Linked DNA regions of Rattus norvegicus. The protein of the gene in region 1 purifies or fractionates together with the protein of each later gene. This does not show direct contact. Links are inferred from orthologs where the notes say so. Each region holds a gene or a part of one and is shown on either strand. Other genes may lie near its edges. The genes, in order: Klhl6 and Nudcd3.

Region 1 (3,817 bases):
TGGGAAAACATATCCTTTGGAGGAACTACATCAAAACTACAACAGAATGTATACATCAACAATTAAAGAAACAGAAGCAATGAATTTGATCAAAAGAGGGACACAGCAGAAGAGTTGGAGTGAGAAGAGGGAAGAGGGGAAATAATGGAGTTATATTTTAATTTAAAAATACATGTTAATTAAATTTGTTTTTAATTAAAAAAATAAAACACCATAGAAGTAGGTGGTAAATGATGGCGGAGACCTGGGCAGGAGATATTCCATCAAAGTGGAGTTTAGGAAACTGTAGCAGAAAGAGTGGGTATCTTCCTGAAAGTGAAGAGCCGAACGGCCAGGGGCAAAGCTCACACCCGTGTCTTCTACCAGACCAGGGGCAGGAATGAGATGGAGGCAGGACAGACTAGGAGCACAGTGATGAAGTCTAAGGGATTTTCAGAAATTCTGGAAAGAAAGGATGAGACTCTCGATCTAGGCAATGTTAGAATAGAACAACAGATACAAATTCTCACAACAGCAGGAAAATGGAAGAAAGTAGAACCCCTTCATAATGGCGATTTGACTAGACCACACAGACCTGGGCAGAGGATGAATGTGAAGGCACAGGGCCACAGCTTTCCAGGTCTCACTTAAGCTTCCCAACAGCTGTATGGAAATGTGATGTCATCCTCATTACACTGAAACCCAGCTTCGGGAATGACGGACTTGTGGACAAGGAGAGTCCCTGGCTATAATGCCTTACATTTCCCACAAAATGCAGTATCTCTCAAGTCCAACTCACCTCGTTGCCAGAAAGATGGTACATCCTGGCTTCCTGAAGCAGGGGGAAGACTTCAGGGCACTGTCTAATGAGAGGGTCTGCTTCCACCATCTCCACGAAGTACCAGGGGTCCAGAAGCGGTAAGCGCACGTTCTCAAGGACACAGGGGAGCAGGCAGAGTCGTTCTGACTGTTTATGCCGGACCCAGCTCATCACAGTCTCAAACACTTGAGACTCTTCAGTCACACACAGGTCGTCGCTCCTCAAAATGTGGTACAAGGTGTCCACGGGAAGTTCGAGGAACTCCTCAGAATTCAGAATCTGAACAAAGTTTTGAATGATGTAGCTTTGAACTTGCGTCTTTAAACTGTCCAAGGAATGTGTGTCTGCCAGCCTCAGTATTCCAATACAATTTTCTGGGTTTAATGCTTCTGTGAGAAAGCTGGCACAGGCATCCACCAGCTGTAGAAACTAAGAGAAGGGAAGAAAGTCAGGCCAGAAAGTGATCATCCTTCAAGAACATTTATCAGTGAGTTGCGTGTGCCAGCCAAACTTAGACACATCGTAAATGCTCAACCACAAGGGGAGAGTCTAAAAATAATACATTCGTATAACAACAACTCTATAAATAGTCTAAGAGCGTGTTTAAGATTACCTTAAGTCACGTGAAAATGTAAAGATTTTCAAACCTCTTCATCAAATCTGATCAAACCCCTAGATTATTTTATTTTATTTTATTTTATTTTATTTTGTAGTGCTGAGGGCAGATACACATCACCACATGCTAAGTGTTCTGCCATCAAGCTGCAGTTCCCACATTTAAGCCTCTGTATTTAATCATCAATTTACAGAAATGATATACAAGTAAATACCTGTTAAATGATACCATAAATAGACATTCAGCTATAGCTATACAGTGGGATAATCCATGGGACAAGTGATTGAATTTCTTCTGTGAATATGCTACAAGTGGGGAAAAAAAGGAGAGAAAAGGAGGAAAAGGATGTAGGAACCTGAGCTCCGCCTACATCTACAAGTCAATGGGCAGCACAAGATGGATGCAGTAGTTATTTTTAAAAGAGGGATCCTAAAGTTGGGCGGAGGGATGAGGGGTCAGGATGAGTCTTGAAAGAATTAGAGAAGAAGTGAGATATAAATAAGATGAAGAGACATTCTATCCATGTATAGATTATCAAAGAATAAAAGTATATTAAAGACGAGAGACTGGGGAGATAATATCAACTTACTTCAACGTATGAACCATATTTGGATCACCGATTTAAGTAACGAAGTCAGAGAAGTGTCTACAGGCACTAATATTTAGGGGCATGAAAAAGTATTATTATTTTTAAGAGCGATAATGGCTTTATCATTATTTTAAGTAAGAATCTTTGTCTTTTAAGCTATGGAGATGGCTCAGCGGATAGAAGTGCTTGTTAATCAAACCCGATGACCCAAGTTCTGATCCCCAGAACCCACAATCACACGCTTAATGATGAAAGGATCTGCTATCCCACTATTCCCTATGGAAGACTGGGACAGGAGGATGCATTACAGCACATGGGCCTGCCAGCCTGGTTTACGCACCTTATCTCAAACAAGGTAGAAGGTAAGGCCCAAATTCAAAGGTTGTCCTCTGACTCCACATTCAGGTTATGGCATGCATGCACCTGCACCGATATACAACGACATGCGTGCATAGCTCACTCCCTCCTTCCCTCCCTCTTTCCTTGCCCTTCCCCCTCATGACACTTTTTTTTTTTTTTTTTTACCATTTAACTTGTTTCAGTGTTTCTTCACAAATGGTGAAAATCCTAAAGTACAGACAAGGAATAGCCATACTGTTGTCACCAACATTATAAATATGAAATTATAAATTTAAACATTTTCTGGTTTAAAAAAATAGATCTGTTCGTCAGTGCAGTTCTGCAGGTGTCTAGTAGGGTGGGTCTCTGTGCTCCTGACCGTGTCCACCTTTATCCATTTTCCCAGGTCCTCCACGTTCACCTCTTTTTCCTCCCATCTGTCCCATTAAAGGTCCAGGAGGCCTCCAGGAACCACCTCACCGTCCTCCACCAAAGCCACCTCGTTCCACGTCACGGCCACCTCAGAAGCCTCCTCTGTCTCTACCTCTGCCACCTCTGAACATTCCTTGAGGACCACCACAGTCCATGAGTCCACCTCTTCCTCCTCGCATGCCACCAGGGCCACCTCAGCCTCGATCACCACCCCAGGTAGAAAGGGTGGCAGGAGGAAGCCCTCGGGCTTAGGGGCTGTACACTGGTTGCATTCTGTTCTCCAAGGGAAATTCTGGTTTCCACAGCCCAGGCTGGGACACTGCCAGTCTCCAGCTCGGTGCTGGGCATTTCCTCCTCCAGAGAGGTTCCCTCTGGAGTCTCCTCTGTCTCCTCCACAGCCTCCGATGTGACCCATGGGTCCTCTGGGACCTCCACAAAGTGATGGTGGCGTCCCTCTGCCCTCACAAGGTGGCATGCCACCCCGCATGCTGTTCATTGGAGGCTTCTTTCAGGCAAGAGAAACTAAGTTTGCTTCCTTGAAAATCCCATCACACCGTTCCACGGCAGCCTTCGCAGTTAGTGGATCTTCATAGGACACTGTGGCGTCACCTTTGTGGTTCACCTTGACAACCCCACACTGCTTAAAGAAGTCTGCCAGATCATCCAGACTCACAGTGTCATTTAATCTTTGTCATAAACTGTACTGTTGTCAGAGTCTTCATTGGGTTCTACAGGAAGGCCTACATCAAGATCTGGTCCTCCCTCCATGGGTCCACCAGGCTTTATTGAAGCCACCTCACTCTCCAGTGCCCATTCCACCGCGTCCTTCTCCCCGCCCACCTCTGCTCATGCCTCCATAATCAAATGCCCCTCTTCTCCTGTCCCGATTATCAGGTCCACTCAAGCTCCGGTTCTCTCCTGGTCCGGAAAATCCTCCAGATTCTTGCGCATAAACACCCATGCTACTCGAGTGGTTCTGTCGGAATGAACTCTGCTGCCCATAGCTGCTGCTCTGTTGGCTATACTGACTTGGAGCCTGGCT
Region 2 (3,817 bases), on another chromosome or scaffold:
AACCAAAGGAGGAAAAAAGGAAAAAGAAAAGAAATCAGTGTTCAAAGTCTCAGATCCTAGGTAACGGACTATGAAGAGGATACTGAAAGGGAGAGGTGCTTGAGCATAGATAGTCGCCTTAAGATTCTTCTTCAATTATTCAACTGACAGAATGACACAGCTTCACATCTACCATGGAGAGCTAATTGGTGGAGGAACTCCGGGGATCCAGCTCCAAGTGGAACTAAGAAAAGAAGCGCGTTTGACATTCCATTTTCAGACGCACAGAAACCGCACCTCAGCCGCAGCTGTAGACTGATGCTTCAGCTAGGAACTGACTCACCATTAAACTACTGAAAGGTGAGACACTACATATCTAAGCACAGAAAGAAAGGTCAGGACATCAGAGGTCTAACCTGAACAGCAACTAGAGAAGTAAAAACGTGGGTTTCGGAAACACATACAAATCTTCCCTTTAAACTCACTGCTATGGTAGCACTCGGACTGGCACCATAGCCAGAATGCAGCTTGCTGTTTAAGAACTTAAAAGAGAGCCCCACCATAAGGTAGTTATTCTTCTAGTCCATTACTCAAGCTAAATACAAATTTCTTTTTATTTTAGAAAATGCATTTTTTGGGGTTGGGGATTTAGCTCAGTGGTAGAGTGCTTGCCTAGCAAGCGCAAGGCCCTGAGTTCGGTCCCCAGCTCTGAAAAAAAAGAAAAAAGAAAAAAAAAAAAAAAGAAAATGCATCTTTAAAAAAGTAAACCAAAATTCTTCATTTGTCTTTTTTTTTTTTTTTTTTGGTTCTTTTTTTCGGAGCTGGGGACCGAACCCAGGGCCTTGCGCTTCCTAGGCAAGTGCTCTACTACCACTGAGCTAAATCCCCAACCCTTCATTTGTCTTTTTAAAAAAGGTAAATATAAAAATGAGAGGTTGCAGGAATGTCTCCATCTGTGCAGTAAAGTGCTTGCCTTTAAAACCTATGCTAGAACACTTTGATCCCACCACTTGGGAGGCAGAGGCTGGTAGAGATCTGTCAATTTGAGGCCAGCCTAGTCTACAGAGTGAATTCCATGTCAGCCAGAGCTACATAGTGAGACCCTATTCTTTAAAATAAAATTAAAAGTGAAAAGATCTGAATTTAACCTCCAAAACCCAAGTCAAAACAAAGCAAAATAGTCAGGTACAGTGGAGGTTAATAATCCTAGTCCACAGGCTGGAAAGGTGGCTCAGTGGTTAAGAGCACTGACTGCTCTTCTAGAGGTCCTGAGTTCAATTCCCAACAACCTCATGGTGGCTCATAATCATCTGTAATGGAACCTGATGTCCTCTTCTGGTGTGTCTGAAGACAGCTACATAAAATAAAATATATATAAAATAAATAATTCTTAAAAAAAAATTTAAAATAGTAATAATCCTAGTCCAGGAGAGGCAGACAAGGGGGACTGCAACGTCACTGTCCATTTAACCTGATCAACTTGTGGAAGTTCCAGGGTAATGAGACTCTATCAAAATTTTTAAAAAAAGGCACCTGAGGAACAGCCTCCAAGGCTGTCTTCTGACCGCCATATGCACTTATACACACAGACAGCTAAAATACTCCTTACTGCATGGCTCTGTGAAAGTCACCATTAATAATGCATTGCTCCTCTAGGGTTTTCAGATTTGGCATCCAACAGTAAGGTATATACCGTTACTCTCACTTAACATTAATTATGCCATGAAACATCTGTATCTGTCAAGAGTTAAGAGAAACAGAACTAGCAGCAAATACTGAAAAGGATTTCTGTGAAGGCTGGCAAGATAGCATGGTCTGACAAACTGAGTTCAATCCCTGCAGCCGAGATGAGAGAGAGTCGGAACCAGTATTCTAACATGTCCCGTGGCCTCCACACATGCACCCTGGCACAAGCCCACCCATACACACAGTGAAAAAGCAAACACAGAGCAGGCATGTTTGCGTGCACCTTTAGTCCCAGCACTGGGAAAGCAAAGGCTAGCCTGGTCTACATAGAGAGGTCCAGGACAGTCAAAGCTATGTAGAGAGACCCTGTTTCAAACAGATATAAGGATGGATGGACAGACAGATGAATGAATATAACTATGGGGGATGTCTAAGCCAGTCCAAAATCCACATAGGCCACTGTAAGCTCCCCAAAACTGAGTACAGGTCCCATCCACAGAACTTTACTGAGTGCAGATTCCAAGCACAGAACTTCTTCTACCTCAGGGAAGTTGAAACTGATCAGGTCCACTACTACAGACCCTACACATAGCTACATATTCTTCACAGTAATACTGGACAAGTATTTGAGTGACGAGAAACTACAGCCCTGCCTACATGACAGAAAAAAACTGACTCTCACCTTGGCAATCTTCAAGATCACTTTATAAACAGACAGGCAATTCATGTTTTCTTGCACTTGCTATTTTTTGTTTTTGAGACAGGTCTCACTCTATAGCCCAGGTTGGCCTCTTACTCTTTATATAGACTATGCTGGCCTCAAACCTAAGTGATCTTCCTGACTCTACCTCTAAGTGTTGGGATTGTAGGTACATGCACATGGGAAAACTTTTCTGAATACCTGAATTCTCCAGCACCGAGAAGAACCTCTACCCCACCCCCAAAATCAACTAGCCCTAGTCAGTCAGATCTGAGTTCGGGGCCAGCCTGGTCTACAAAGCAAGTTCCAGAATAGCCAGAGCTACACAGTCTTGAAAATAAACAAACAAACAAACAAACAAACAAAGTAAACCTCTGAGGTAACAGACTCAAAGCTGAGCCCTTCCTAAAGGAGGCCCGGAAGCGCCTGGATGGAAGGCAGTCTGCTCACTAATTAATGTGTCTGAGTGCTGCTTGAGACTAGGAGACTAAGACACCAGCAAGAACAAAGGAATGTGAAGGCCATTTGGAGACAGCAAGATGGCTGTCTGCAAGCCACTGATAGAAGCCTTCAAATAAAGAGCCCAGGCAATACTTTAATTTGGGGTTTCCAGTCTCCAGAACAATTAGAAAATAAATTTCTGTAGTTAACCACCACCCACCAAAACAGAACTGATATTTTATATACCACACAAAACAAAATCCACTCCTAGGCAAACTTAACCTCAGTAGAGAAAGGAGGACACTGAAGAGGAGAGGCTCCTACCTGGGGAGCACAGGAGGGTCCTTAGGGCCTTCAGCAGCACTGCTAGCTGTTCCTGGAGCTTCTGCCTCCTCCGAGCCATGGGTCACTTTGCGCTCGGGGCCCTGTGGGCCTGGGAGCTCCTCCTTTTCTACTTCCCGAGGTCCACTCAACGCTGTGGTAGCATCAATCTCCACCTCCTGCACTGGGACTGGCACAGCTTCCTTCTCAGCTGTGGCAGCTGCCACTGCCTTGGCCTCTTCCTCCTTTTTTCTGATTTTCTCTTCCAGTTCCTTCTTCCTTTTCTCATCATCCTGGCGGGCCATGTGATCAAATGTTTTAAAGACCTAAAAATGAAACATAATCCAACAATAAGTTTATCTGCACCCTGTCAGACCACACCACCACAGAAATATAACTATCTTCTAAGTACAAAATTAAATAACAGGAAACCAAAACAAAATGGACACACTCTACAATTTCACCAAAACCTGGTAGGAATCACTCTTCCTCATTTCCAAAATGAACAAATGCAAACTAAGTCAGATCTCACCACATACAAACCTCGAGGACTCTAGACAGCTTTAATTGTCTTTACTTTTGGGGGACTGAGGTGGGGGCTGTTGCAAGATAGGGTTTCTCTAGTAGCCCTGGAATCTGCTCTGTAAACCAGGCTGGCCTTGAACTCATCAAGCTTGGCCTTGGCCTCCG

What was found.
Region 2: the proteins of Klhl6 (region 1) and Nudcd3 purify together in Homo sapiens (affinity purification with mass spectrometry; 3 studies listed by BioGRID and IntAct, counting the BioPlex papers as one, with this or other methods). This does not show direct contact. The link is inferred for Rattus norvegicus from reciprocal best matches to the Homo sapiens genes KLHL6 and NUDCD3.

Annotation. Positions count from the first base shown.
Region 1 is NC_086029.1:94,499,116-94,502,932, reverse strand, and holds part of Klhl6 (kelch-like protein 6), read right to left. Parts: exon of another isoform or gene 1,477-3,817; intron 1,229-1,476; coding exon 779-1,228; intron 1-778. UniProt on the Homo sapiens protein: Involved in B-lymphocyte antigen receptor signaling and germinal center formation.
Region 2 is NC_086032.1:85,262,837-85,266,653, forward strand, and holds part of Nudcd3 (nudC domain-containing protein 3), read right to left. Parts: intron 3,454-3,817; coding exon 3,131-3,453; intron 1-3,130.